Linked DNA regions of Lytechinus pictus. The protein of the gene in region 1 interacts with the protein of each later gene in a pairwise test. Links are inferred from orthologs where the notes say so. Each region holds a gene or a part of one and is shown on either strand. Other genes may lie near its edges.

Region 1 (7,482 bases):
GGTGTGACCATCACAGACAACCTGAGTTGGAACTCCCATGCACAGAAGATATCCTCCAAAGCTGCTCGTACTCTTGGAATCATACGTCGAGCATTGGGTAAATGTGACCTGAAAGTGAGAGACATTGCATACAAGCAACTTGTCAGACCACAACTTGAGTATGCTTCATGTGCATGGAATCCTCACATACAGAAAGATGTACAAACATTATTGAGAACATTCAGCGTCAGGGTGCTAGGTTTGTCCTTCATGACTATAGCAGAGAATCCAGTGTAACATCGATGTTGTCAACTCTTCACTGGGATACTCTCCAACACAGACGCATTCTTAGCCAATGTGAGATGTTCTACAAAATTCATCACAATTATGTTTACATCAACATGCCACATCAGATTAAGTTAAGCAGCAGTTCTCGTCCACAACGTTCACAACACACTGGACATCAGCTCAAGTACACCCAGCCTTTTTGTAGAGTGAACTGCTACATGTACAGTATGTTCCCAAGAACCATCCGTATTTGGAATACTCTCCCAAACGCTGCTGTAACTTCGACCTCTATACCTGGCTTCCGGGGAGCAACATTGCCTATCATTCAGCAAATGTTGCCTCCCCCTCCCCTTAAGATGCTGTAAGAGGGACACACACGCACCACCCGCACACTGCACCTAGCACACTGTATATAGTGCACCAAGAATACCACCACAGGATCACCACATCACCTGAAGCACTGGCAGCACCTGACATAGCACAACCCTCTCCAGGACAGCGTGTACGCTTTTGGGAGAGTACTTCTTCAAGGTTCAAGGTTATAGAGGAGATCCGAAAAATAGCGAACTAGTTTGCTACAATTCCCCCTGGTGTATATATCGAGGAGATCCGAAAAATAGCGAACTAGTTCGCTACAATTTCCCGTAGTATTTATATAGAGATCTGGAAATAGCGAACTAGTTCGCTACAATTCCCCCTCGTGTACATATCTAGGAGATCCGAAAAATAGCGAACTAGTTCGCTACAATTTCCAGTTGTATGTATATAGAGATCTGGAAAATAGCGAACTAGTTCGCTACAATTTCCTGTCGTTTGTATATAGAGGAGATCTGGAAAATAGCGAACTAGTTCGCTACAATGCCCCTTCGTATATATATAGAGGAGATCCGAAAAATAGCGAACTAGTTCGCTACAATTTCCAGTTGTATGTATATAGAGATCTGGAAAATAGCGAACTAGTTCGCTACAATTTCCTGTCGTTTGTATATAGAGGAGATCTGGAAAATAGCGAACTAGTTCGCTACAATGCCCCTTCGTATATATATAGAGGAGATCCGAAAAATAGCGAACTAGTTCGCTACAATTTCCTGTCGTTTGTATATAGAGGAGATCTGGAAAATAGCGAACTAGTTCGCTACAATGCCCCTTCGTATATATATAGAGGAGATCCGAAAAATAGCGAACTAGTTTGCTACAATTCCCCCTGGTGTATATATCGAGGAGATCCGAAAAATAGCGAACTAGTTCGCTACAATTTCCCGTAGTATTTATATAGAGATCTGGAAATAGCTACAATTCCCCCTCGTGTACATATCTAGGAGATCCGAAAAATAGCGAACTAGTTCGCTACAATTTCCAGTCGTATGTATATAGAGATCTGGAAAATAGCAAACTAGTTCGCTACAATTTCCAGTCGTATGTATATAGAGATCTGGAAAATAGCGAACTAGTTCGCTACAATTTCCCGTCGTTTGTATATAAAGGAGATCTGGAAAATAGCGAACTAGTTCGCTACAATTCCCCCTGGTATATATATATATAGAGGAGATCTGGATTTGACAATTTGACACGTCGTATATTATAGACTAATACAAGGAGATGGCTACAAATTTCGACGCTTATATATAAGCGTTGAAGATCGCTATATTTGCCATCTTATTATTTCCCATATATTATTGATCATAAATCAGTATTTCATGGTCTGTTATTTATTTTGTGTACAACTTATAGGTCTGGGTCTGCTGAAAAATAGGCTGGCAATTTAGTGAATCTTGCAAAAAAAAACTTAGGCATATTGACTCACTGAACTGTGCGATCTCGATTCTCTGCCTTTTTCAGTCAACAATGAGTATTAATCCAAATAGTGAGTTTGGTTTTTCTTCCATGCCACAGACTTTGCCACTTCTTAATTTTATCCAAAATATTTCAAAATATTTTTAAAATATAGAAATATCAAAACATTAAAGTTATTCCCTTCATTCCTTTTCTTCAAACATATAGTTTTATTTTATAGTCAACCTACGACGCTACGCTTGCCTCCTCTTCAAACTTAAATTTGCCTCTTTATAAAAAGGCAAATTTACTGGATACTGTACAGGATATATAAATGTAAATTCCCGATCAAGATATTCATGGTTTTATATGGAATTAATTTTGATATTATAAGCGACTGAAAACATAAATTTGTGGCTAATATGTCAAAACATTATCTGTCCCACGTGCAAACTATGTCCCAGTGATGACTTGTGAGAGAGTGAGCTCTGATCATCATCATGCTGGTCTTGTGTATCGTTCGATTTCGCATCCAGGTGGGTGTTTCATCAAAGTTGTCAGCCCTGACTAAATTGTCAGTGCTGACCATTTTAGTGAAAGCCTCGCTTTTGATTGGCTGAGAAGCTCCCGCCTCTGACTGTTACTGTGGTTACTGTTGGGGAAAGAAACTTTTTAGTGCTGACAACTTTCATGAAACACCCTGGCACCTAAAGTGCATTAAAAATCAGCGAAGCAGGTAACCTTTTCAATTATTCAGAAATTTGTGAGCAGGATAATTTAGTTGTGTCCATGCATGCAGTGTCAAGCCTCTGACTGTTACTATGGTTACTGTAGGAGAAAGACAACTTTTTAGTGCTGCCAACTTTCATGAAACACCCACCTAGGCTAAAGAAGTGCATTAATTAAAAATCAGCGAAGAAGGTAACCTTTTCAATTATTCAGAAATTTGTGAGCAGGATAATTTAGTTGTGTCCATGCAGTGTCATGATTAGACCATGGAGCTATTTAAGCTTCATGATTAGACCAAAAGCTTCGGTCTGTTGGCTGTTCCACTGAACTCCGTTGGCTCCACTCACCAAATACAGAGACCAAAGTTCTAGCTCGATCTGTACAGGGACTCAATGGCCATATGTTTATGTATTAAGTTCGGATAAAACAGGGAAGTGAAGTTGCGCAACAGCCGAAGTAAGTCACTGTTTTTTCCCCTTTTAAGTTTAGTTTTCCCCGTTTTGGTGCATTTCAGGCCAAAACACGTAAACGGATACTTGGTATGATGTTCCTCCGAAATACTCCAAGTCCAAGTCCAAGAAGAGTTTATTAAACTGGAGTGGAGGTGTATACAGTTCTCCTTGTAATTTGTATATTTATGAAATAAAGACAAAAATTGATGAGCCCCATTGGGGGGATTTTGCATTGTTTACCCCCTACTATGGTGGCTGCACGATAGCGAGCCGTCTGTGTACGAGGAGAAATTTATTATTTAAAAAAATGTTAAAAAACTCCTCGAAACAGACAGCTGGCAGATGTCTACGTCATGATTTGCATTTGAATTTAAATTAATCACTCCATCCTTTTTATTTTACCAGTTACAGTCAGTATAACAACTAACATTATTAGTTAAAAAAGAACTTCAAAACAATGTCTTTGTCAATGCTCCTTCACTCCTTCCCTACCAGCTCTTTGACTTTCTCCCTCCAACCCTCAGTCACCCCTCCCTCCCTCACTCACTCACTCAGCTATGTCCTGGACCGCCTCGGCCCCGGCTGCGCCCTTGGCCTTGCCGCGGCGGCTGCCGCGCCGCCGGCGCGGCGAGCAAAGGCAGAGCATGCATGCCAAGTCCCATGACACGTTGAGTGCAGGGCGCGGAAGCCAAAGGCACGCACACACATAACTTAGTAGTACTTACACGGATGCAATCATCATCAAAATCAAATCAAAGTTCCCATAGTTCGATTCAAATTCTGTCTTAACTTACAGATTCACGTCACTCACCTCATTCCCAAGTAAAAGTTCTTTTTTTATGAGCGGACCGTCTGATCTTACTGACCAATAGACGAATTTCATCATGAATATTCACTTCTGGCTTTCTGCTTGAATTGACCGAAAGTCCAGTAACTTAACGTAAGCAGACGATATATGTCAAAGGTCATAATTGTGATTATTTACTGCTGTTACATGGATTTCTATTGGTTCGTATAGAAGGGGCGTGCTAACGTTAGAACTTTTATTGAAGACTGATTTGCTTGTTTTCTTGATGTTTTATAAATCGAATAATATATTTCATTGTGCAATGTGTGTATCAGATGATTCAATTACAGAATTGCCAAGTCTGTAGCTAGTATCATTCATTCCGTGTCTACTCTGAAACTTGTAATAATTCCACATTCTCAGAAAATTGACCAATCAAACTTGCGCTTTCTATAAAGGTGGGTGGGTTACATTTCCTCTAAGTTAGGTTCTACATGTAGCAAGATGGGCGAGTCCACTTTCTGTCTCCGGATCGAACCGAGCTGAGTTGATTAACTTCTTTTTTTACTAGAATCCCCCTTCGTTCACCCTTTTCAAAGGACCTCTGTCATTTATTAAACATTTCATCAATATTAGAGTATTACTGGTGAGTATGATTTCCAAATCGATGTGCTGCCAGCCTGCCACTGCACTCGTTGATGTGACCTGCGTGAGTGGGGACGGATGTGTGACTGTCTGTGAGCGGTGAGCACTGCCACCACTGAGTGACATGACTGAGCTGATGAGGCCTTTCCTTGGCTTTATTATTGGGCTGTGTCCTGTGACCACACTGGCCTGAGCCTGAGGCTGTGGTGCACTAGTGTGACTGTGGAGTGTGGGCAGTGTATAGGCTATCATTGAATCAAATAAATATCATGTCTGTTTCCGTAGTACAAATGTTGAATATTAATAATAATGTCATGATAAAAAAATAGAATTGAAAAAAATATGCCGGATGCCGGAGTCATCATGTAAATTGTAATGTGTGCCCAAAAATATATATATTGACACTTCAAAAAAACTCCAAAGCATAGATCTAATTCCATAAAAAATTAATAATATGACCAAAAGTAACAAAAATGCAATTACTGAATCATATAAAAGCCATGTTAATTCCGTAGTACAAATGTTGAATATTAACATGATTAATGTCATAGAAAATAGAATTGAAAAAATTATGGTAAACGGAAATTATTTACTTACTACCAGAAGCTTGTTTTTTGCCAAAAATCGGACGCAGTTTCCAATTATCGGACGTGTAGAGTTGTGCGCCGCTGCCGCGATCAATTTTGGCAATTTAAATCGCGCTCTAGACTCCAAAATAATTGCTCAATTGTTGATAAAATAATTTTAGCTGCGCAATGCCGATTTTAATAAGGTATTTCTATCAATGATTTTGATATAGAAATCGGTAAATAATAATTTACTTACCAAATGGACCTCTTTCGGCTCTAAACATCGGACGTCTTCGCTCAGCTGGGCGCGACTTTGTTCTGAAAATGAGCGCGCGTGCGTTAACAGCTCACGCATTTCCAATTCAATCGGCCGATATGTCCGATGTTTGGGATCGTGCCATACAATGTATTTCCTGCCATGGGGAACCCTGCAGCGGCCATTGCAGATTTTTTTTTGCGATAGATCGAACATGGGTGCGGTCTCGGCGGTGATATTTCCGGCGAAAATCACTTTCCCCTTAAGAGATTCTTCTGGAGTCCATAATTAGCGAGGGTCATAAGAATCTTTGCCACTTTGGAAGTCAAAATCATGGATTTTACCCCTGGAATATTTGTTTGAGCAGCAACCTGGATCTACTGTGTGTGCAGTTCAATAGTAGGTATGTTCATGTATCTCAATGCATGCAAGTCCCCCGCCAGTGCAGGTCCCTGTAGTTGTGGGGAGGATCGAGTTGACGTCATTTCCGTCCGATATTTGGAATCGTCCGATGTTTGGGGGTTTTACTCTAGACAGATTTAAAATTGATATGCTCCGCGGTATCCCATCTGTTAATAAGCCAGTTCACGGTTAGCTCATGATCAACTTTTCTCAAATGACCTTTGTGATTTTTCATTAGGATAAGCACTATCATTTTCAAATGTAGATGTTGCGTAAGCTTTACCAGTAGTAGAGTACGGTATTCAAATTCTAAGAGCAAAAGGCATTGTATAGACCAGGTGACTAGAATAGAACATCAGGGATAAAGTTTGGAAATCTGTTTATTGTCTGCCTTTGGCACATTTGACTATTGTTTAGGCTACTGTCAAATACCAGTGATTATGAAGGCTCTATTTATTACTCTTCATCTTGGATGTGATAAAATGAATATTTTGAAAGGAATACATGAATAATCATCAAATCACAAATGCCTATGTCAGTGAATTTGAAAGCCATGTTCCTTTTAATAGGCAAATTGCACAAATCATAAATTTTCAATTTTTGTAGGAATGCCATAGCAGATAGCAATATGTTAAGTTAAGAAAGAAATAAGAAAAATTATGTCTGACCTGATAAACCAAAACTTCACACATGGATCATTTGTTTTTTGTTTTTGTTGTCAATTATGTTCTGTGATGAAAAATAATAATATTTGATTTGGTCTACATGTATGGTGGAAGAAAATATTGCTCATTATTTTTCAAATATTGAATGAATTATTCTTTGTTCAATTAAAAATAATGATAAATGATGTCATGATGTACATGTACATGTAAAGGGTTTTGTTATTTTTTTTTAAAATAGATAAAGCAAGTAGTAATCAATGCTATTGCCACTAAAATCAGGGGGAAAAAATGCAAACCAAATCAATCAATAAATGTTCTTGTACGTACATTTGATTTCTAAGATAAATGCCTCTGTGGTAACAATTTCAAAATGGGTTCATACCATCCAAGTGTATCTTTGCACTGAAAAAGATACTGTGTCATAAAATTCAGCAAGAAATTGTGTCATTGCTGAAAAATAGGAAAATAAGCTTGTGATTCCAGTCAAATATCAGGGGCCCGTTTCTCAACACCGTCATAAGTCTAACTTCTTGACTAAATCGAAGATGGTGAGCTACTTGTCCGCTTACCGTTTCACGACGCCCTCTGCCAAGATCGGGGACAACAACCTGACTAAATATTATTTTATGACAACTCTGAACCTGTCATAACTTCTTTCTTAATGACATAGTGGCTTCACGTGGGTAGACTATGACATGCGAAAGTGCCTCGAAATTTGAAAATTATAATCTTACGTAATCATTAATAGAAGTTGAAATTACATTGAAAAACTTGTGTGATAGATCATTCAATAATAATTGTAATGCACAGTAACTATAAAAACTGTTGGTAAAATGCAACAAAACCATTCATTTTTTAATAAAATAATGGAATCGATAAAGATTTTACCACGTCAGGTTATCCATAACTGGACTCGTATTCGTCGTTTTCAGACACT
Region 2 (7,260 bases), on another chromosome or scaffold:
CAGCTTAAGCTCCGAACCAGTACATGCAATTACAAATGCATTTAGCTACTGCCCACACATGCAGTATGAACTGTGGAATTTACCCTTTGGCATATGACCCTTCCATTTTTTACAGCAATATCAAAAGTATCGATCAAAATTGGTATACAAATAGCAGAAGCTTGACATTGATTTCATTCTACAATGCATTTTTTCAATCAGCAATATTTACCACTAGTGATGGTTTTAATACTCTATCAGGAAGTTAACAGGAAGAAAGCATCCATAAATATCAATATCTCAATTAATGACAGATAGCAGCTTTTATAGAAGCTGTATATAAATCTTACAGTAACGCTGAAATCATACCTATTCTTGATAGCCCCTACCTCATATTTTTAGCTTGAATTTAAGCTTCAGTTCCATTTTTAATCTTTAGGTATTCATATTTCTGTTATATGGATTTGTAAGTTGCATTTCATAGCATGCCGTCTTGCCTTGAGTTCACAATCCATGATGCCATTGACTTGCTAAAACAGAAAAGATTAAACATTGTGAGTGGTATTCTGATAACCCTTGTTTAAACTTGAATTTTAGACCACACTTCTATGCGATGCTTGGTATCGTGATAATTCCTCAATTTTCGTGGCAAATATAATGTACCAAGTTGTACATTGAAATTTTTATTTTCCCATTCCTGTCATTTCATGACAATTTTTTTTCTATTGTTGTTGGATGATAATTATTTTTACATGATAATTAAGTTGACAACTGGCACTTCATAAAAAAGTGTGGTCTAGGTTAACCCAGGGTTAACTAAACCTTGGCTATCAGAATACCAACTAATATTGTTTAACGAGTAGAAATTAAAGTGTTTATGTTGCTATTCTATTGTATTTATTAATATATTTCAATTATCTTTATACTTAAGATGCATTATGTGGCTGGTTGAAGGTTCCAAAGCTTGCTGTTTGTATTCCTGCTTTACTCAATTAGCTTTAAGTTTATCATTGTATGTGTGATGAATAAAAATATGGGTAAAAACAAGGAACTGATTTGTATAAAATTGTTACTCAGAGAGTTGTCACATATTGTGCTTTAAATTGATTATTTTTTAAGACAAGAAAATAATAGTAATTATATTTTTTATAATATACATTTCCAGGTATTTGCCAAAGGAGAACTTGAAAGGTGCCTTATTTGTATAATAATGAAACTCTGGGAGTATTTTTTTATTATATTATTTGTTCATTCCATAACTTTGAACATTTTGTTTGTATTTCAAATATCTTGTTTTTTTTTATAAATCCTGAATTTGATGACATTTTTTTTCTTCCATTAACCCCCCCCCCCCCCTCATTCACACAAACAGTGCCTGTCAAAAATCAAATTTTGGTTTAAAAAAAAAAAAACTGGATAACCTAAAAATTTTGAGTTCAGAAAAAAGGAACTTTCCTTTTTTTCTGCAGAAGGGAGTAAAATTATATTTTCAGACAAGAAGTGACCCAAATGAGGGTTATTTTATCTATAGTGTTTACACATGGTTAATGGTCTGACACAAACCATACAAGATTTTTAAATGCTATTTGTTCTCAGTGCAAAGATTCTTTCATATGTGAAATGTATCCATATGAATGTTCATTCTATTATGTCTAAAGATTGAAAAGGAATGTCATTATTTTTAACTGGTATGTAAAAATGAAAATTATTCATCACTTCAAACTAAAATTTTGGGGTGTATATCTGTTCTTACAAAATCATGTGATAAAGGATTGTAGAAATTTAAGCAACAAACTGATGAAATCAAGCAATATAAAATGTTTATGCATATGTTACATACAGGGCATTATTTTAAAAAGGGTTTTAAAGTTGTTTAGTGTGTGTCAACTATATCTTAGATAATATTCAAGTGCAAGTTTTAATTACTTTTCTTTTTGGCTATTATCAGAAAGATAGTAATGAATTGGCTTTATTTTGCTGTTTGAATATTGATTAACTTTCAAACATGCAAATCTAAAATGATGATATTACTTATCCTTTTGCTTATAATCAGTGTGTAAGTTTCTAACCCTTCCCTTCATTTATTTTGATCTTGCACATTCCTTGCAGAGTAATCGTGCATTCTCATTCTTTCTGTAGCAAGAGCTGCAATATATGAAATTTTGTTTTCAAAACATGTGAGATTATTCTATTATATTGTTGATATCCAAGTTTGATAAAACATAATGATTCTTTTTTTTCAACCAAGTTTTATGATTATAAAATTCCAATGTTAGATTTATTGATTGATTAATTGAAGTTGTCTATTACTTAAATTTGGTCAATTTGGGTTTGGAATTCAAGGCCTTTCTAGACTGTGCTGTAAAGAATTTAGGAAGGGCTGAGACAGTATTTGAATGAAAGTAGTCTATTGGTTTGCCTTATGTCTTCTTCTGAACTAACTATGCAAATATGTAATCATAAGACATATTGTGCTGCTTTATTGTGATGCAATCCATGCATGTTGCCTAAGGCAATCAATGTATGTAACCTAATGCATTAAATTTCATGGTTTATTCTTACACTTACACAAACAATGATTGGAAATAATAGAGAAATTAGTGGTTTGGTCAAAATTTGCTTGTTTCCATTAATCTTCTGAACAGACAACCCATATGACATTGGGTATATTTCTTGCATTGTAATTTATTCCCAATATATATAGGCCTGTCTTTTGCCAATTTGTATTAAGGCCTGCAAATATGCTACAAACTGCCTCTGCATGTAATCATGTCTATAATCTATGTGTTGTATCATAATATTTGTGGTATATATCATTAAATCTAGTATACTGCTGATTTAAACTTCTTTGAATTTATCTGTGAATTGTGTACCCATATTAGTGGGAAACGATGTGAAGAAGTAAAATTATCAAGAAAAAACTTTTCCTTCTATAGCATGGAGTGAATATGATATGTAAGTAGGAAGAGACTGAATGTTATGTGTGATAGAGGAGATTTTTGTGAGAGAAATAAAAAGTGGGCATAATGAGAGTGTACAGTATATATGGTCATTATTTATTTATTAAAGTATGAAGAGTGGTCATGATAAGAGAAGGATGTCATACTGAGAGAGGTAATAAGAATGGTCAGATGAAGAAAGTCCAACCCTACACAAAGTTGATTTGAATGATAAGTGAAAAATCCAACAAGATTAACACTGAAAATTTCATCAAAATCCAATTTTAAATAACGAAGCTATGACATTTCTAAGTTTCACTTGATTTCACCAAACAGTTATGCATCCTGGTTGGTATGAGGGAGCTGATGACACCCCACTAAAGTTCTGTATTTTATCATATGAAATACGAAATATTCTAATTTTCACCTCATTGTCCGTGTAAAACAAGTTTTGTTCCTCATGAACATGAGATATTACCATTGTTTTAACATTCTATAATGATGGAGAGCTAGTGGGTCATATTTACAGAAAGTGGTCATGATAGTATATGAGTGGTCATAGTTAGGCGTGAAGATGTCATTTTGAGAGAGAGAGCACTAAAGTGGTCATAATGAGGGATATATAGACCTATCATGGTCAAAATAAGAGACAGAGTGGCCACAGTGTGGAAGAAATTTAGAGATTGGTCATAAAAGACAGAGATCGAAATTACAGAAAATTGTCATAATATGAGATAAGAGATCGAAAGTGAAATGGTCATCATTAATTCGGCCTACGAATGCAGTGTCATTGTGTGAGAGAGAGATCACATTCCAAGAAAAAGTGGTCATACTCATACTAGATGAGAGAGAGGATATAATGATAGAAATAAAGCATAATTAGTAGTAATTCATTGAATTCATAGAGATATATTCTAATAATGCACATTATTTTATAGGCCTCCATCAGGCCCGTAAATTTCAATTACTTTTAGTTTTAGGGCACTGCCGATAATAAAACTAAAAGGGCACATTTTTACATAAATGAGAAAATTCAAAGAGTGCCAAAAACATACAAGGCCACTGAGCTGAGGCCTATCAATATGACATCCAATTAAAGATCATGGTCTGAATGACCTTGGAATTTTGATGATAGTATGATTGAAATTATTTTCATCTTGATTAATTATTTTAGCTACGCTACGTGCGCTAAGCGCCAGGCTACGAAGAGATCACCTTTTGACTGCCGTGGCCCGTAGATGCTTTCCGGATCCGGTGCGATGTTTACACGCACACACCCAGCGATCGTACACCGTACCGATATATGCACGCACGTACGTACGTACGTACGAGGTACACTTTTCGTACATGAATATATGATCCCGATTCCAAGAATTTCAGCCTGCTGTACTGTACTGTGTACGTACGTGTACCGGTACCGGTATATTATCTTTATGAAGATCGAGATTTCTTCCGTTAATTAACATGGGAGAACAAATCGAATGCAGTATAGAAAGGATCAGGAGAGCGAGGAGTTGCTTTGAAATTTTACTTTGAAATTGAAGTCTACTTTATCAGGGTAAAAAATGGGACAGACTACTTCAGCACCGCCGAATCCCAGCTCCCAAAATAATCGCAATAATGGTAAGTTGCCATGGGTCGGCCGTCGATCAGTTGACATGCCACTCACACACACAGTCACACTGCACTGTGTTTGTGCCAGTGCCACTGCACAGGTGACAAGATGTCAGGCCTATCTATCTCACTGACGTGACGACAAACACATTAATCAGTCTTGACACTAACATTTTTTAATTAGTAGATCTACCGTATGACTATGACCAAGCCTAGTCTTGAGGACGCAATGATGTAGACAGCTGGCAGCCGTCTGTTTTGAGGAGTTTTTTAACATTTTTTTTTTTAAGTTCTCCTCATACACACAGACGGCTCGCTAGCGTGCAGCCACCATTAGGGGACTTGCAATGCAAAATCCCCCCGTCGGGGCTCTTCAATTTTTGTCTTTAATCAATAAACATTTTGAAAATTAATGCGACCAAAATGCAAATTGATATTCCCTCTTGGCATTAATTGCCAAGAAACGGTGAAAAATCGAGTTAAAAGGAACAAAAACAGTGACTTACCTCGGCTGTCGCGCAAATTCACTTCCCCGTTTTATCCGATCTTAAGTACATAAACATATGGCCATTGAGTCCCCTGTACAGATCGCGCTAGAACTTCGGTCTCTGTATTTGGTGAGTGAAGCTTGCCAACGGAGTTCAGCTGAACAACCAACATAACAGAGACCGAAGCTTTTGGTCTAGCAATGATGATGATTTTTAAAATAATGAAATAGGCCTATACTTCTTCATCATTGACGTCTTGACACTCTTCCCCCAGTCGCATAAGAGAAGGACCATAATAAAGATTGATTTCCCTCGGAAATCCATCTTTAGAAACAAAAATCACTTTAATTGTATTGATTTCATTAATTTTCACACCTTCCTACGCCTAATGCGTAGGAAGGTTTTAAAAATTATAACATGAAAATGTGAAAAATTTAAGGTTTCTTACCTAACTGATGCTGAGACTGAGTAAACCCCTCGATCCACATGTAAACAACGTAAGTACAATAGCGTCGACCCTTGAACCGCTTATGTATGACGTACTTCCGGCTAGCGATGCCGTTCTGATGAATAATTTATAGAAAAAAAATATTATTTCGCAAATTTTAAAATGTATCACGTAAATTAAAAATAATTGTCAGTTTCATACCAATTATTCTTAATTACGTGATAAATTTTAACATTTGCGAAATAATTTTTTTTTCTATAAATTATTCATCAGAACGGCATTGCTAGCCAGAAGTACGTCATACATAAGTGGTTCAAGGGTCGACGCTATTGTACTTACGTTGTTTACATGTGGATCGAGGGGTTTACTCAGCATCAGTTAGGTAAGAAACCTTAAATTTTTCACATTTTCATGTTATAATTTTTAAAACCTTCCTACGCATTAGGCGTAGGAAGGTGTGAAAATTAATGAAATCAATACAATTAAAGTGATTTTTGTTTCTAAAGATGGATTTCCGAGGGAAATCCATCTTTATTATGGTCCTTCTCTTATGCGACTGGGGGAAGAGTGTCAAGACGTCAATGATGAAGAAGTATATTTCATTATTTTAAAAATCATCATCATTGCGTCCTCAAGACTAGACCAAGCCTGCATATGACAATTAATGAATAAGGTCTATTGCTAATCAGAACCGCAATGCGTCGTGGGATCGAAAAGGGGGCAAGCTACGTCACGTGTAGCTAGCTCTGCGCACATGCAGCTGCAGTCTAACGTTAGAGGTCTATGCATGCCCCCTTTTCATTCCATCATGCTTTGTGGTGCAGGTTCCTTTGTTAATATTTGCCGATTCGCGATAAACCATGTGTCTGCTGACCGCGCATACATATCTTCGCAATTCTAGTAATTTAAAGATACCTATACCTATATGGATGCTTCTGAACGCAGTATTATTGGGTGTTGCAAGAAACTTGCGATCAATTGCAAGTCAATTTTTGGTCCCTAAAGCAATCATATGTCTAGACAGCTGGCAGCCGTCTGTTTCGAGGAGTTTTTAAACATTTTTTTATTTTTTAAATTTCTCCTCATACACAGACGGCTCGCTATCGTGCAGCCACCATAAGGGGACTTACAATGCAAAATCCCCCCATCGGGGCTAAGTTCAATTTTTGTCTTTAATGAATCAAACTTTTGAAAATTAACGCGACCGAAATGCAAATTAATATTCCCTCTTGGCATTAATGGCCAAAAAAGGGGGAAAATCAAGTTAAAAGGAACAAAAAAGTGACTCACCTCGGCTGTCGCGCAACTTCACTGCTCTGTTTTATCCGAACTTAATACACATAAACATATGGCCATTTAGTCCCCTGTACAGATCGCGCTAGAACTTCGGTCTCTGTATTTGGTGGGTGAAGCCAACGGAGTTCAGCTGAACAACCAACATTACAGAGACCGAAGCTTTTGGTCTATCATATGTCTTGCAGTTAATTGCAAATTAGTAATTGCTAATCTGCTCCTTGAAACAAGAAGTTTAATCTGATTTGCTACAGCTAACGTTGATCTATCAGTTGTAAATTGCAACAGAATATTTGCGATTGATCGCAAACATTTTCTTGCAACACCCCCTTAGGGTATCGCGATCTTAAAATTCCATGGCGATCGACTAGTGCGCGCTCGGCTGAAAAAGTTTCATAAAAAAGTGTGACCTTAATTTGCGTACGATCGGTTTGCAAAGTTTTAGAAACCAAATCAAGCAGACAAAGGTACGATAATTATATCAGATGGAGGTTAAAAT
Region 3 (7,675 bases), on another chromosome or scaffold:
AAGTGTCCACCTTCATGCACAGATAATCCAATGGAATGCTTATACCCGTAGCACACCGTCCTTTTCTATTGACAACAGAATGCAGGCAGGAATTCATCAAAGAGGGGAGCAACGGATACCTGCAATAAGGATCAAAACAAAATGAATATTAGAAAATTTGCTCTTCGGTATTCTTTCTGCAAATATATCTTCATTGATCAAGAAATTAATACCTCCTTTACCTGAATAAGCAAAATGCATTTTTTTTCTTCTATTTTTCATTTCTCCTGCAATAGGAAAGTTAGCAGATTATCTATATTTTTTTCTTCAGTGAAATCTTTAAAATTGTCTTATTTCACATATTAAGAGTATAAAATTACAAGAAAATTTGACCAACAACAAGATTGAAACTTGATAAAAGACAGTATGTAGTAGGGGCCAATATATTTTTTCTTCATTATCACATACCTCTAGTAGGTGTTGAATACAGAGAATATCACATTAAAAACTGAGTGAGTATACCAACCTATACATTTACAGAAGACCTGTTCTTCCTGCTAAGTACAGGGCTTGTTCCCCATCAGGACTCCTGATGCAGACATGGCCTGGATTGGCCCCAATCAATAGCACCTATGACTCTTGGAAACCTGTAGCAATCATCAAATTGTCGCTGGGTGGTTTGAATTTATCGTCATCGGAAACTTCATTGACTGTTACTCCTTGCTATTGCCTCAGAAAAATCTTTGATGATTCTGCACACGGATGACTTATAGTTGCTTCGTCTGCTTGCATCTTCTAAAAGGTACCTTTAATTATTGAATGATAAGTGATGTTATGTAATTGGTTTATTGATATGAAAGCCAATTGATACTTAACCATTTACGTTTGCAAACATTGTGCTTCTGTTATGACCTGATGTTTATGATGCACTGGAACTGCTTAAAGAGATTTTTCTTCGATTCATTAAAAAAAAACTCTACTGCAATAACAATCCATGCAAAATGGAGAATATCTCTGTTAAGCTGAAATGACATACCAATATTTCTTTTTGGGTGGTTATAAATCATCCTTCATGATAATTTCCCACTTGAATATGACATATTTGTATTAAAAAATGTTGCTACATTGTAAAAAATGAGAGAAAAATAAAATCCCCACCTATTTCCAACCCAAAGGGTTACATGTTTCATTCCGACAAAAACCTTTCTGTGAAATACCCCCAACACTCCCCCTCCCCTGTAAGGGGTTACTAGTACTCCTGGCTGAAAGCAGAAACAAAAATCATACAATTTGGATGATTAATAATGAATATTAGGTTTTGCATTAATTATTTCTGTGAAACATGTGCATGTTTTCATGAATATGCAAGAAATAGCCTGATGATGTCACATCCACACATTTTCCACACATGAATGTACAAGGGTTCCATGATATTTGCTCTGGCGACAATTACTCAATGGAAAATCTGCATGCTAAGCAAAACATAAAACTTAATTTTCATGACTAGATACTTCCAATCCTTGATCCTTACATTATTCTGAACTCGCAATAACTATCTTAAATATATAATCAGCAGTCAACCCCATTTTTACATTCCTGGAGGAAAAAAAATAATGATTATGATTTCAGATCACTAGAGAACAAGTGGGGATATGAATATTGCATATGAGATACACAGAACTGTTTCCCCCAAGTTATGTAAAACTTTAAAACTGAATCAATTCATAATTCTCCATCCAATATTGATGGTTTTTGCTAGTCGAATTGTTCTTTATCAAAATCTCATCATTTTTGGCCTGGAAAATCACTTTCATAGAACATAATTTGACCCCCCCCCCAATTACCCTCTGCTTTACAGTTCGCACATGAAAACTCACCAATGACATAAAACAAAGTCCTGTCAAAACCTGTAACATGACAGGCAATGTGTGGTTCTCTCTGTTGGTACCCCACTCTGAGAGGTTCATCCTCGTAGTATTCAAATGGATTCTTCCTGTCTCTTAATCCATGCTGTGGTCTTTCTATGTGTTGCTGAATCTGCATGGAAGTTAAAAGATTGTGTTTAAGAGTCACCATGAATGGGCAATTTATCTTTGAATTTCATTTAATTCAAAAGTGTTTAAAATGAGGAACAGAATGTGAAAGATTATACAGAAATCCTTAAAAAAAAGAAAGGATAAAAATTCTAATTGACATGAGTAGCTTTTCTATTTACCTACTTGTAAAAGTGAAGAAAAAAACCCTGCCAATTGTTGCTGATCATCATCATTGATCAAACCACGCACGTCATAGAGATGCTTCTATGAAAACTGATTTACTGAATCACTTTCAATTGGCTTTAATAATGAAGGCAAGGCACTAATTTTATGGAACTTTGTTTACACAAATAGAGGTTATTGCTTGCGAGTGACTTTCGAATAACATATTTTCATGAATCTTCATCAAAGTCTCATTAAACCTTTTTTTCTACCCCCCCCCCCCCCCCGGCATTCATCAAACTGACAATGCTTTCTTTCTCTCTTTTAAATAAATATTCAACAAAATGTCAGGATTAATTGGAGATCAACAAGCCTAGTGACCAGTAGACAAATATATATGTTAATAACACACAAGCAAGGTCCCCCCCCCTCTTCTTTTTTGTCAATTACTATGACAAGAATGAAAAAGTAACATACATGTCACATGATACATTTACAATTACATGATGAATTCAAATCCCAGAAATAATATTTTATTAAAAAAGGCCATTTTAATGACATTTAATTTTTTTAAAATATGAATTGATAAGGCATACCTCACTCTCTTGCAAGACGGCACAGCAGTTCAAAATTGGAGCCATGTTTGCTTTGTCTTGATTGAGCACAATCTGCCGAGTATGTATGGTCTGTTGCTGATATGGAAGAAAAAAAATAATGAAAAAAATATTTATTCATCAATCATACTGCAATGTCAAGGTATATCAAAGAAAAAAATAATAAAGCAGCTACAAATGTAGATTGATAAAATCCGCTGTTTCAGAGGAGTCGTTCAACATTTTCTGATTTTTTTTTGGTGGGACGGGATGCTGCGGAGCCACATGAAATCTCAGGGGAGCATATCCCTGACAGAAATAAACCTATTTATCGGTCTACTACAAATGTAGAGGACTGAAGATCAAATGCACTTGTCTGTGGTCTCATGTGAATATAACATTGGGACTCCTTGTGAAAAAAAAATACTTGAAACAAAGAGGGTGGGGTAGAGTTTATAATAACCCCCTAAAGAGAGAATTTTCAAAGTTAGACCTCAGTTAGATCTACTCAAATAATCAATTAGGCCTAGGATTTCCATTATTTTTTAATGTTTTGACGACACCGTAAATCTATAAGTGATCGCAAATGCAATGCCGAAGGTCAGTAAAACTTAGTTTTAGTAAAAGTAAAATCAGCTCATTTATAGCTGTTGGAGTAAACAGCGGTGAGTGGAACCCAATCTTTCTTAAATATTTTTTCAAAAAATAATTTAATCAGGGCTTAGCCTTAGGCTTAAGTTAGAGTTGACCCTTATTAAAATATTTTTTTTACTCCAACGATGTTGTAGGACTAACTCTAACATGGCTACCAGGTAAGCTTCATAGCTTGACCATCTATCCAAGCCAAGACAAAGCCAGCCCAGAGTAGAATGTCTAAGTTAGACCGGCTCTGTATTGTAGTGTTAAAAAAAAACTTATTTGTATTGCTGCTCTCCTGGACTTGCCTTGGCCTTGCTTCAGTCTCAGACAAAATTAGATGCACAGTAGCTGTGTTGGCAGGGCCAGGAGGAGTGGCAGGGGTATCGTAGACAACAAAAAATCCATGAAAATCACACGAAATCGAAAATCACTCACTGCCTGACATAACTAGCAAATAGTATCGACCTTTCAATCACGCCTACCTGGCCTGTGTAGTGTATGCTAATTGCGTCTCGCACTGCAATGCTCATAGATATGAACGCACACAAAAGTACATGGCTGGGACTGAGCAGCTTAGAGACGCGACGATAACAATGATTCAGATACCATTTCAAGTTTTCGAGTATACCTTTTGGAAAGTTAAAGCTATCAATAATAGTTACAGATGGAACTGAAGGCTCCGTCATGATTTAAGCTCCAACAATTATGTAATTTACTTACAATCTCGGTCGAAGTCGTGAAATATGAAGCTTTAGATAAGCCGATCACACCGAATCTCGTCTCTGTCCAAAAAACTTTTTTCTTGCAGCAAACTTTTCCGCAATCGAAATGCTGCTCTCTGATTGGTTAAAACAGTGGACTAACTTTAACCCACCGATTTAGTCCACCCCAAAGAGCTGACTAAGTCGTGACGTCAAATGACGCGTTTTATACCCCGGTATAACTTTAGTCGACCTTTGTGAATCGCAAAAGTTAGCCCCTAGGTGCTAACTTTAGTCCATGGATTAAAATGACGTCAAATGACGCGTTTTATACCCCGGGTATAACTTTAGTCCACCTTTGTGAATTCGGGCCCTTGTTATGAACAAAATACTGGCAATTGCCAGTGAAGTTCTAATAAATTCAATTCAATTCAATTCAATTCATCATCGTGTTACATTTGAGTTGAATAATAATAATAATAGGCATTTATATAGCGCCATCTATCTAGAACTATTCTATTCTGAGGCGCGTTGTTATTACTATAGAAGAAAATGACAAATGATGTTTGCTTGTCATTTTTTTGATGATCCAGATGCTACCGTCTATGTCGGAGGCTTGGATGAGAAGGTGACAGAGGCATTACTATGGGAACTCTTCCTACAGGCCGGTCCTGTCGGTAAGTCTCAGTCTTGTTATAAGGAATGAAATGAGGGCTGTAATTTGAAGAAATGAAGGTGTCTTCATTGTGAAAACACAAAGTTAGAATTCTTATTGATGGCTTGTTAGGAGTAAGCTATGTCAAATAGAAGAACAATAATCGCATCCCTTATATACTGTAAATGAGAAGTATGAGTATTTATAGAATACATCCACTAATAGCCATAGGAAATTGAAAATTGAATGGAAACTATGACAAGAGAAGCTGTGTAAAGCCAAAGGATTTCCAATTGATTTTTTTTTCAAGAAATCAGCAAACATGTACTTGTAGTTCTTAGTATTAAGTAGCAACCTCATCTCCAAATTTTCTTTTTCATTCAGTAAACACCCACATGCCAAAGGACAGAGTAACCCAGTCGCATCAGGGTTATGGCTTTGTGGAATTCATGGGGGAGGAGGATGCCGATTATGCCATCAAGGTGCTGAACATGATAAAGCTCTATGGTAAACCGGTCAGAGTGAATAAGGTAAGTTGATACCATGTTGGATGCTGTATGTAAAGAGAAAATTGAATTGTCCCCTATATTAGCCTAAATAGGAATTTAGACGTAATGGTAAAAAGGACAAAGTGGCAGTTAGACAAGATGGGTATATCATAGAACTGTTTGTAAGTTACCAGCTACCTTACGATCGACCGGTGATATTTTCTTAGGAATTATATCAACACCTATAGATGCAATTCTAGTGTATATCATTTAACACAATAATGGATCATCACTCATTCATAAATTCTCTTGTAACTTGTGAAACACCCACCGGGAGGTCATCAGAGGAATTGATCGTACATAAAATTTGATGAGTCTAGGCCTAGATGAGATCATCCAGGCTGCAACCAAATTGGCAGTAGACAAAATAGGGGTGAGACCAAGATCACCACTGACTTAGAATATGTCCTCAGCTCACAGCCAAGACTTTGCACACACATTGGTCTTGAAGGGTAATGCTTTGCCATGGTAATACAGGGAATAATTTTCCTGGTGTCGCATCGCAGTTTGCTCCACATTTTTTAAAGATTGCTGCACATGAAGTCATTTGTATAGCATATTTTTACATAGGACTGTGCATTACTAGTTGAGAGCTTTTCTCTTTAATGACCAAAAAATGCTATTGAAATTTGTAAAGCAAAATTATTCCATGGTAATATTAATATATGCTCTTCACACAAAGCTATCATAACTATGGGTAGTACAATTTCTCCTGTAGGACACAATTTTGCCGTTTCTCTTAGAATAATATTTAAATAATATAGGATTTGTATAGCGCACGTATCCACCTTGCTAGGTGCTCAAGGCGCTCCTATATTACCCCGGCTAAGCTAGTCTACCAATTCTGGTGCACACAGCTTTTTGAGGAAAACTTCTTGCCGGTATATCCATTTACCTCACCTGGGTTGAGTGCAGCATGCACAGTGTGGATAAATTTCTTGCTGAAGGAACACACGCCATGGCTTGCTAGCAATGATACATGGAATGTGGTAAGAAAGAACAAATGTCCTAAAAATAAATGAGATCATTTCCGTTGCAGTATAAGGTACAGTCTGTCCTGAATAAAAGCCATTTACCAGCTAATCATTACACTCCAAATCGGCAACACAATAAAAGTAATAACAAATCAGTGTTTGAAAATGCAAATTGGCAACTATTCAAAATAACGTTTCTTTCATCATTATTTTAAGTATGAAAATGAGTAGAAAATAAATGATTGTTAACAATTTGAAGATCAAAACAGGATTAATTTTGACTTCATGAAAGCTGTGTATCTCGCACTCAATGATATTGTGTGGCTAATAGATCCATGTAAATCTCATTAGGCATCGGCCCATCAGAAGAACCTGGATGTTGGAGCGAATATCTTCATCGGTAACCTAGATCCTGAGATTGATGAGAAGCTCCTGTATGATACATTCAGTGCCTTTGGCGTCATCTTACAAACACCAAAGGTAAAGCTTGATTTACATTCATATAATGCCATAAAAAATGGTTTGCTGCGTCAAAGGGAAAAAGGTTGGGGTCGGTTGGTATTTCTTATTAATGCTTGAAGTATTTTCTCTTTTTTTTCGGGTATAAAAAAGAGTTCCTAAATTTTTTTTTAATGGAGATTGAGGGTTTTTTAGGCACAAGTGTCTTCTGTTCAGAATATGGAGGATGTTCTACTGTCATTTGCCAATTTATAATTTTTTTTATCGCTTTAGAATGTGTAATTGTAAAAAAAAAAATGGTATGAAAATTAGGGATTTTTTGGGCCTTGTTGGCACATTTTTCTTCTCTTTTTTTTTTGGGGGGGGTTCAAATTGGAATTTTTGAAAAATATTAGTCTGCACTCTGCAGGTTTTACCAAGGTTGCAAGGTTGATCGGGTTACCCCAAACAATTTTTCCCTATTCAAACTTGGATAAGGGATGAGGATAATAGTTGCAGAATATTTTGTGAAAATCTAATTCTTCCAAAGGGCCTACCTTTCATAATGTTGATGATTCACATCGTGTTTCATTATTATATGGACCACTATTGAATGCTCACCTTTTCTCTCCCCACAAAAAACAAACTAATCAAAGTATTATATTTAAACAAACAAAAAAATAAGAACAATACTAAGTTTCCTCTTTCTCTCTCATAGATAATGAGGGACGTGGAGTCCGGGAACTCCAAGGGATACGCTTTCATCAACTTCGCCAGCTTTGAGGCAGCGGACGCAGCCATCGAGGCTATGAATGGACAGTATCTGTGTAACAGGGCGATCACCATCTCGTTTGCTTTCAAGAAAGACTCGAGAGGAGAGAGGCACGGCTCGGCAGCAGGTATGGAACTAATGGGTTAATTAATAATTTTCTAACAAAATTGATAATGGT
Region 4 (6,868 bases), on another chromosome or scaffold:
AAAGAGCAGCTGCTGAAAAATATCATCTGCAAAAGAACGCGGCGCCACGGCCACCCTTTCAGAATGCTGCATATTGCACGTAATTTTGCACAGCCATATCGCGATGCAAGTGTTTTTGTGTGTGTATGGCTTTGTTGTATGGTATACTCGTTGTGTGTGTGTATGTGTGTACGTGTGTACCGGTAATATATGATATTACCGATAATAAGATACCGTGAAGAAATATCAGCAGAAGATAACCCATGCCATGAACCCATGACTGAGCTACGTAATCACACCACAGGAGATAAGCCCTTAAATTTATCAATTTTTATAGAAGGGATTTTCGGAACTTCAACTTGAGGATAAAACCAGCAGATTTAATATTTAGGTATGTATTTTTCTTGCTAGCCGAATTTCAGATTTTTATTTGTCACTGAGACTAATTAACGTTAGTATTAAATTAGATCTAGCCTAATTAGCCGACAAGTATTTATGCGGTATACGGTACCGGAGGCGGAGGGCGCGGATTTAGAGAGGCAGGAGCCTGGGAGGTGGTACCGTATACCGGTACTTTTTTTTTTACGGCGGTAGACAGTTTTAACGTTAGTACCGGTACACGAATCTCAATATGAAAAATGAAAGTTCTCTTTTCTAAAGACTTTGACTCTGAATAGAATGTGCAAGCAAAAAATTGTGGTCTATGTGATATGCGATCCATAATTTCTGCAATCTTCTGTTCTAACTTCTAATTAGATCTAGAAATGTAGAATCTAGATAGATCTAATTCATGTTAAAATTGTTAGAATTATGCATGCCATGACCTTCGATCATTACTTGATAAAGTTTAGCATTGCTACCGTACTTGGTTTTATAATGTTATTCATCAATGACACTTGACAGTTTGCCATGGAGAAGTATGGTTGTTCCTATATGAAAAGGTCATATCTTGTGTGATTTCTTGTCTGAATCAATTTAATCTATCTTAGTTGCTTCAATTCATGATTCTTTTTCATTAAACCTCAACACAATTTTCAAAGATTTCTTGTTTTCTTTGACTTGGCCTTGGGTCTACATTTCATGTTCAAACTTCAAAGTCCATGTTCAGTTACAAATTACATGTACCGGTAGGCATATTTACATGTTGATGATAGTACCTTCTACTTAGATAGTTGTGTACATAGTGTTTCAAGTTTACATGACGCTTTGATACTGTACAAGTCTGTACATGTATCTACATTCATATTTTGCCAATGATTATGATGCACTAATATCTTTTTCAAATTGAAAAACAACAATTTTTCAATTATAAGTCTATGCATTTTGTAATGATGGCCTACGTATGTAAAATATGCAAAGTGGGTAATCCCCCAAAGCTGTGTGTGTTTTTTCTGAGTGTTTTTTAGGCAAAAACACTTTGCCGTAACTTTTCAGGAGCTATCATCTTATATTCTTAACAAAATCATGGAAGAGAACAGTATCAAATTGTTATGATGTGAAGGTATTTTGTGAAGGCTAATGATGTTTACTGTACAACTTTACAATACTAGAATTTACAGTCAAACCCTACTGTAGATACTAATAGGAATTTATGGAATGACATCCAACTAATTTCCAATGACATTTTAACAAATTGAACATTGTACTTCACTGATAAAATCATGCTGTTTTTACCTTGGTCATATTTGCTGCCCTCTGTGATCATGAAAGAGTTTGTTTTCATTTGGAAACCTTTGCTTTTGCTTTCATAGGACTTCATAAAGGAGTGAAAATGTGACAAGGATGTGGAGGGAAAATAAACCCCACTACCCACAGGAAATACATTTTGAAATATTAAATCGAGAAGTTAAAGCAATCCATGGAAAATCACCATTTTGATTATAATTCACATTATTGACCTTTTACCAGGCTTTTATAGGCTATATTAAACATTTCATCTGACATTTTGTTAAAGTATCTTATTTTAACAAAAGTACCCTCTTTTTAATTAATGTTTTTGGGGTAAAATAGTTTTGGAGGGATATTTATTAATTTATGAATATTAAATTTTGTCTAGCAAAATGTGATATTTTGTCATGATTTTTCCTTGGGACTTAACAAATTTTCACATATTTGTTTTGTCACTTTTATACCCTTTTGAAGTTTTGTGGATAGTACGTACTCCCTATATTTGAGGAGTGCTGGGAGCATACCATTATGATCTAGATCAATGGATTGAAGGAAATAGGTCCATGCACTGATAAACAGATTGTTGTAAAAATAGAAAAACAAATATTTGAGAACGTTTGAGGAAAATCCATCAAAGATTTATAAAGTTATTAGAATTTTCTTTTTATTTGAGACATCACATGAGAGCAGCTTCCCATGTATGGTGAAGGGTTTATTGTACCTTCATTTTGATCAACAATCTATTTCACAGGCACTCCTGAAAAAAGAAAATTTCTAGCCATCTCCCATTAAAAATTGAAATCGATACATTTTATATTACATGGCAATACATGTGAGACAGCTGCTTGTATATGATGTCACCATGGAGCTGTTCTCTGTAATAGCTCCATGATGTCACAAATTGAAAACTTGAAATTCTAATAACAATCTTTAAATTGATTTTCCTCAATCCTTCATAAATATATTTCTTATTATTTTTCCGGTATTTTTATAACAAACTTATATGTCAGAGGGAACTTCCCCTGTGAAAGAAATACCTGTACCTGGACATCATTTTTTTTTTTGTAAGTTGAAATATTAAGTAATTCTGTAATTCACAAGTCTATTTTCTTTGTTTGTAGTATATGTACTTTGTATCCTTTATTGTAAAGCGCATAGAGAAACTTTCAGTTTATTATGCGCTATATAAGAGAAGTATTATTATTATTATTATTTTTGTTTGTCTTTTAATGAATACTCTTATAAAATTCATTTTGATCAATGTGCATTTATAAACTCAAGATGAAATTTGAAAAAATAGGATAAAGTTTATTTTTGAAAAAATTAGTATAATGAATAAAATATTGAAGTAACTTTAATAGTCCTTTCAGATGAAAACAGATGTATACATTCTCATAGTAGGCAGGTCTAAAACATAATGCGATGATTTGATACCTTGTGGCAAGGAGGTCTTTGATATCTATCCTATCAACCCCTAAAGATATTGATTGGTTTATAATCCACCAAATTGCCCAATGCAGTGGGGCTTATTTTCTTGTACCTGCATATTGTATTTGTGTCCTATATCTCAATTTACCTTTTAAGAGCTGAGACTAGATTTATAGAGGGAACAATTCCTGTAAAAGAATGGTTTTAGGACTTCTAGCCTTTGATCTTTCCTAGAATGAACCTAATCCATTTGATGAATAGTGACAATCTGTTTGTAGAATTGAATATAACACACCCCCTCACCTGGCTTGTTGACTGCTCAGTGATTCAAAGAGGTAATAAATGTGTGTTTACACCAGGTTTATGCAGTGTTTCCCCCCAAAATGAAACATTTCCCTAAAACTCTTAAATATGGAGTTATGTGATTCCAGGAATGTGTTGAGGTAATCCCGTTAGAATAAACAATTTGAGACTGGATTGAACAGAAATTAGGTTTTAGTTTCATTCCAGTTTGGTATACATGTACATGTACATATAGAAATGATTGCATAGTTTTGAGATGCTTCATGGGGTAGGTTATGACCCCCATAGGGATGGTCCATTAGGAGTAGTAAATGCACATACCATTTTGTTTTAGGGGTGTTTCAGAGCCCTAAGCTTATGTGAAACTTAGCAACTGCTTAATTTGTGTTTATCCAAAGAGTGTATTGCTCGTGCACTCATTGAAGTGCAGTGTAATTATGAGTCACCTTCAAAATCAGAATGTTTCATGAAAGCAGAGCTTTTGTAGGATAAATGGCAGACAAGCATTGTTCTGTAGACCATACATCCCTCAATTTAGCTTAGTGTAGCTCACCATGCATACATACAAAACACAGACAGGCTTGGGTAATCCATTTGAAATGCTCCCCCACTGTTTGAATACTCTAATCTCAACCTAAGCACTCTGGTATGTGAGAAAGTTATTTGCATGGGTTTTGGGGGGTTACTGAAGCATCCTAAAACTTTGTATACACAAACTGCACTATTGGTCAGTCAGTATTGTATTAGCACAGGGAAGTACTACACATTGAGGATTCTCTCATTGGCTGTGTTTTGTTATACTACAACTACAAGTAGAATGAAGTATCTGTGCCACCTATGTCCTCGCCACCTTTACCTCTAAACATTGTGGAATATTCATTGGATATAAACAGTGGTCTTCTTCTCATGTATTATACTAGTTAACAACAGAGTAAAGTCATATCAGAAGAAATCAAGATGGGAAGACTCAAGTGAGTATAAAGTTAATATACTGTACATTGACCTATGTATTGTTACAGCCAGGTGTTTTCATTTGACCTTTTATTTATTGTAGATTTAAGTTTTAATTCGTTCTTTTAAAAACAATTTTGAGAACAGGAATCTTTCCTAATTGAGCAGCAGGCAAATCACATTTTACTCATTTTTATCATAAAAATGTAATTAAAATACTAGGTTTATTGCCTCCTTGGACATGTTGGAGTCCTGACTCTTCAGGCCATTTATATTATAATAATTAGGCTACACTGCTACATATATGTGTTAATAACATATTTTCCCTTACAATGTACATTGGGGATTCGTGAGGTGTCAAGTTTTTTTTGCTCACACTAGACTTTGTTGTTTGTATCGTGTTTAATGCATTTGTTGATTTTAGTTACAAGTTTGACTAAATTATTGAAGATTTTCCTTCATTTCAGAATTTTTTTGTTTTGAAAGTTTACACATACATTTTGTTTTTCTTGTTGGCTTTTGTGTAGACAACATCTACATATACATTGTAATTCAGTTCAAACATGAACTGAATCCAGGCAATTTAAGTAGCTACATTAGCTAATATGCCATGCACTCCTCAATTTAGCAAAAATCCTACATGTAAATGCTGGATATCCAAAAAGTGTGGAGCGAGGCGGAGGTACATGTATGAAAGTACAGAGTGAGGTGAAGGTATAATGTCTTCATAGAGCACATGATTATGCCATCAGTTAACTTGTGTGTGTATTGGTAATAGCATCAAGCCACACTCTATGCTAAGCCGACAATGTAGCACCTGTAGACACATTTAAATGCTGCTCTTGATAGCTACAGTGTAATTATTTGAAAAAAATATTTTTCCAGTTCTGAATTGATACAGCGTAAATTCTATTGATATGGGACCTAAGTAAATTTCGGCAATAAAGAAACAAACTAAATTTTCATAGGTCAAGTAGATTTGATGGCAAGTGGGCACTACTGTATATATCGAAAAGCTTGCACCTGAATATTATACTTGCTCAGATCAGAATTTTATTACTGTGTATTTTACTGGTAGGCCTCAGTAAACTGCAATGAAATAAATAGATGGGAGGACCATTGAATTGTAGCTCAACCCAAGAATAATGAGATAGAATAACAAATTTTGTCATTCTCCAAAAAATACCTGTCTTACTGGTGGTACTCCGGGCTGAAAATAATCTAAATAGAGTAAAATTAAGCAAACAAAACCCTGAAAGTTCCATCAAAATCTGATCACAAAAAATGAAATTAGTTGAATAATCTAGAATTTATGGCATCATGATGTCATGAAAATGCAATAGATGGGCGGATGTCATGTCCTTACTTTCTTAAAATCATAATTATTTCATATATGAGTATGGTACATGTATGTCTCCCAAGAGTCCCATGCAACAAAATAAGTTGCAGCAATAATTATCTTACACATTGAAATATTGAATCAATAGTCAATATTTTTTTTTCAATTCTTGGAGGACAAAATTTGAAGAAACGATTTCATAATGATAATAGAAAAAAGTGGGGATACATGTATGATATCAGCTTGCTCATTGCCAGGCATATACATGTACATTGTAGAACTGTTCCGCTATTAGAAACATGCAAAAGTTTGAATTGAAATAACTTTTTTGATGAAATTTTCAAATTATATTATTTTCATCCTGTAGTACCCCTTTAAAATTCATCACTATCTGAAAAGCATTCGAAGCTGATGCCTGATGGGGACTGGAAAATTCCTGGAGACCCTTTAAATATTGCTGATTTTTACATTTACATGTAAATGATGATTTCTATACAACCTTTCTTTTTAGTTTTCTGTATTCGATATAATTTTTCTTGATTTTTTCATATTTTTAGCCTCTTATTTTTCATGTTTTATAAGTTATTTAAGCCTATTCATTTACCATAATTTCTTTTATTTCATATATTTCAGGGATTTTATACACCTGTTCATTATTTCACTCTCTATTTTTTAACTGGATTATCTGCCCATTGGTGAAAAACAAACAGCTCTCAGCCCATGCAAGAAAGGACATTTCATGTTTTTTCTTTGGTTGAAATCAAAAGAAAAAGAATGAGATTAGAATAAATGTTGTTAATTTGCAATTTTGCTTAGTTTTCCTTTGGCAGATTTCTTTACAGAGCACATGTACATGTACATGTTACAGTGTACATGTACATGTTACAGTGTACATGTATTGCCAATCTGCATTATCTGAGTACAGGTTCATGCTGTAAATTATAATCCTAGGATACATGCCATTCTGATGAACTTTGCATGACAAATTTAGTTTATCAGCTTTATCTGCAGATAAGTGATGACCAAAGATAAGTGGATTAAATTGAAGCAGTGTAGTGGAAGTTTAATTAATGATGCTGGCTGCCTGTATTTCTTGAATTGAATACTGATTTGCTGCCCTAGAAAGAAATAGTTAAAACATGGAGCTACATGTATTACTCCATGGTTAAATTGTTGTACATAACATGTTGAAATAAGAAA

Evidence for each region.
Region 2: the proteins of intersectin-1-like (region 1) and E3 ubiquitin-protein ligase NEURL1B-like interact in a two-hybrid assay, tested with the Caenorhabditis elegans proteins (2 studies listed by BioGRID). The link is inferred for Lytechinus pictus from reciprocal best matches to the Caenorhabditis elegans genes itsn-1 and F10D7.5.
Region 3: the proteins of intersectin-1-like (region 1) and splicing factor 3B subunit 4-like interact in a two-hybrid assay, tested with the Caenorhabditis elegans proteins (2 studies listed by BioGRID). The link is inferred for Lytechinus pictus from reciprocal best matches to the Caenorhabditis elegans genes itsn-1 and sap-49.
Region 4: the proteins of intersectin-1-like (region 1) and protein numb-like interact in a two-hybrid assay, tested with the Caenorhabditis elegans proteins (2 studies listed by BioGRID). The link is inferred for Lytechinus pictus from reciprocal best matches to the Caenorhabditis elegans genes itsn-1 and num-1.

What each region holds. Positions count from the first base shown.
Region 1 is NC_087248.1:26,509,437-26,516,918, forward strand, and holds the start of intersectin-1-like, read left to right. Parts: upstream 1-4,477; 5' UTR 4,478-4,654; intron 4,655-7,482. Other genes in the region: quinone oxidoreductase-like protein 1, read right to left, coding at 4,033-4,107.
Region 2 is NC_087256.1:2,719,433-2,726,692, reverse strand, and holds the start of E3 ubiquitin-protein ligase NEURL1B-like, read left to right. Parts: upstream 1-4,235; 5' UTR 4,236-4,483; coding exon 4,484-4,541; intron 4,542-7,260.
Region 3 is NC_087258.1:12,072,115-12,079,789, forward strand, and holds the start of splicing factor 3B subunit 4-like, read left to right. Parts: upstream 1-4,672; coding exon 4,673-4,787; intron 4,788-5,149; coding exon 5,150-5,295; intron 5,296-6,638; coding exon 6,639-6,767; intron 6,768-7,443; coding exon 7,444-7,624; intron 7,625-7,675. UniProt on the Caenorhabditis elegans protein: Subunit of the splicing factor SF3B required for 'A' complex assembly formed by the stable binding of U2 snRNP to the branchpoint sequence (BPS) in pre-mRNA.
Region 4 is NC_087251.1:3,401,052-3,407,919, reverse strand, and holds the start of protein numb-like, read left to right. Parts: upstream 1-3,861; 5' UTR 3,862-4,335; coding exon 4,336-4,349; intron 4,350-6,868. UniProt on the Caenorhabditis elegans protein: Involved in the tethering and targeting of pkc-3 to modulate the intracellular distribution of the kinase.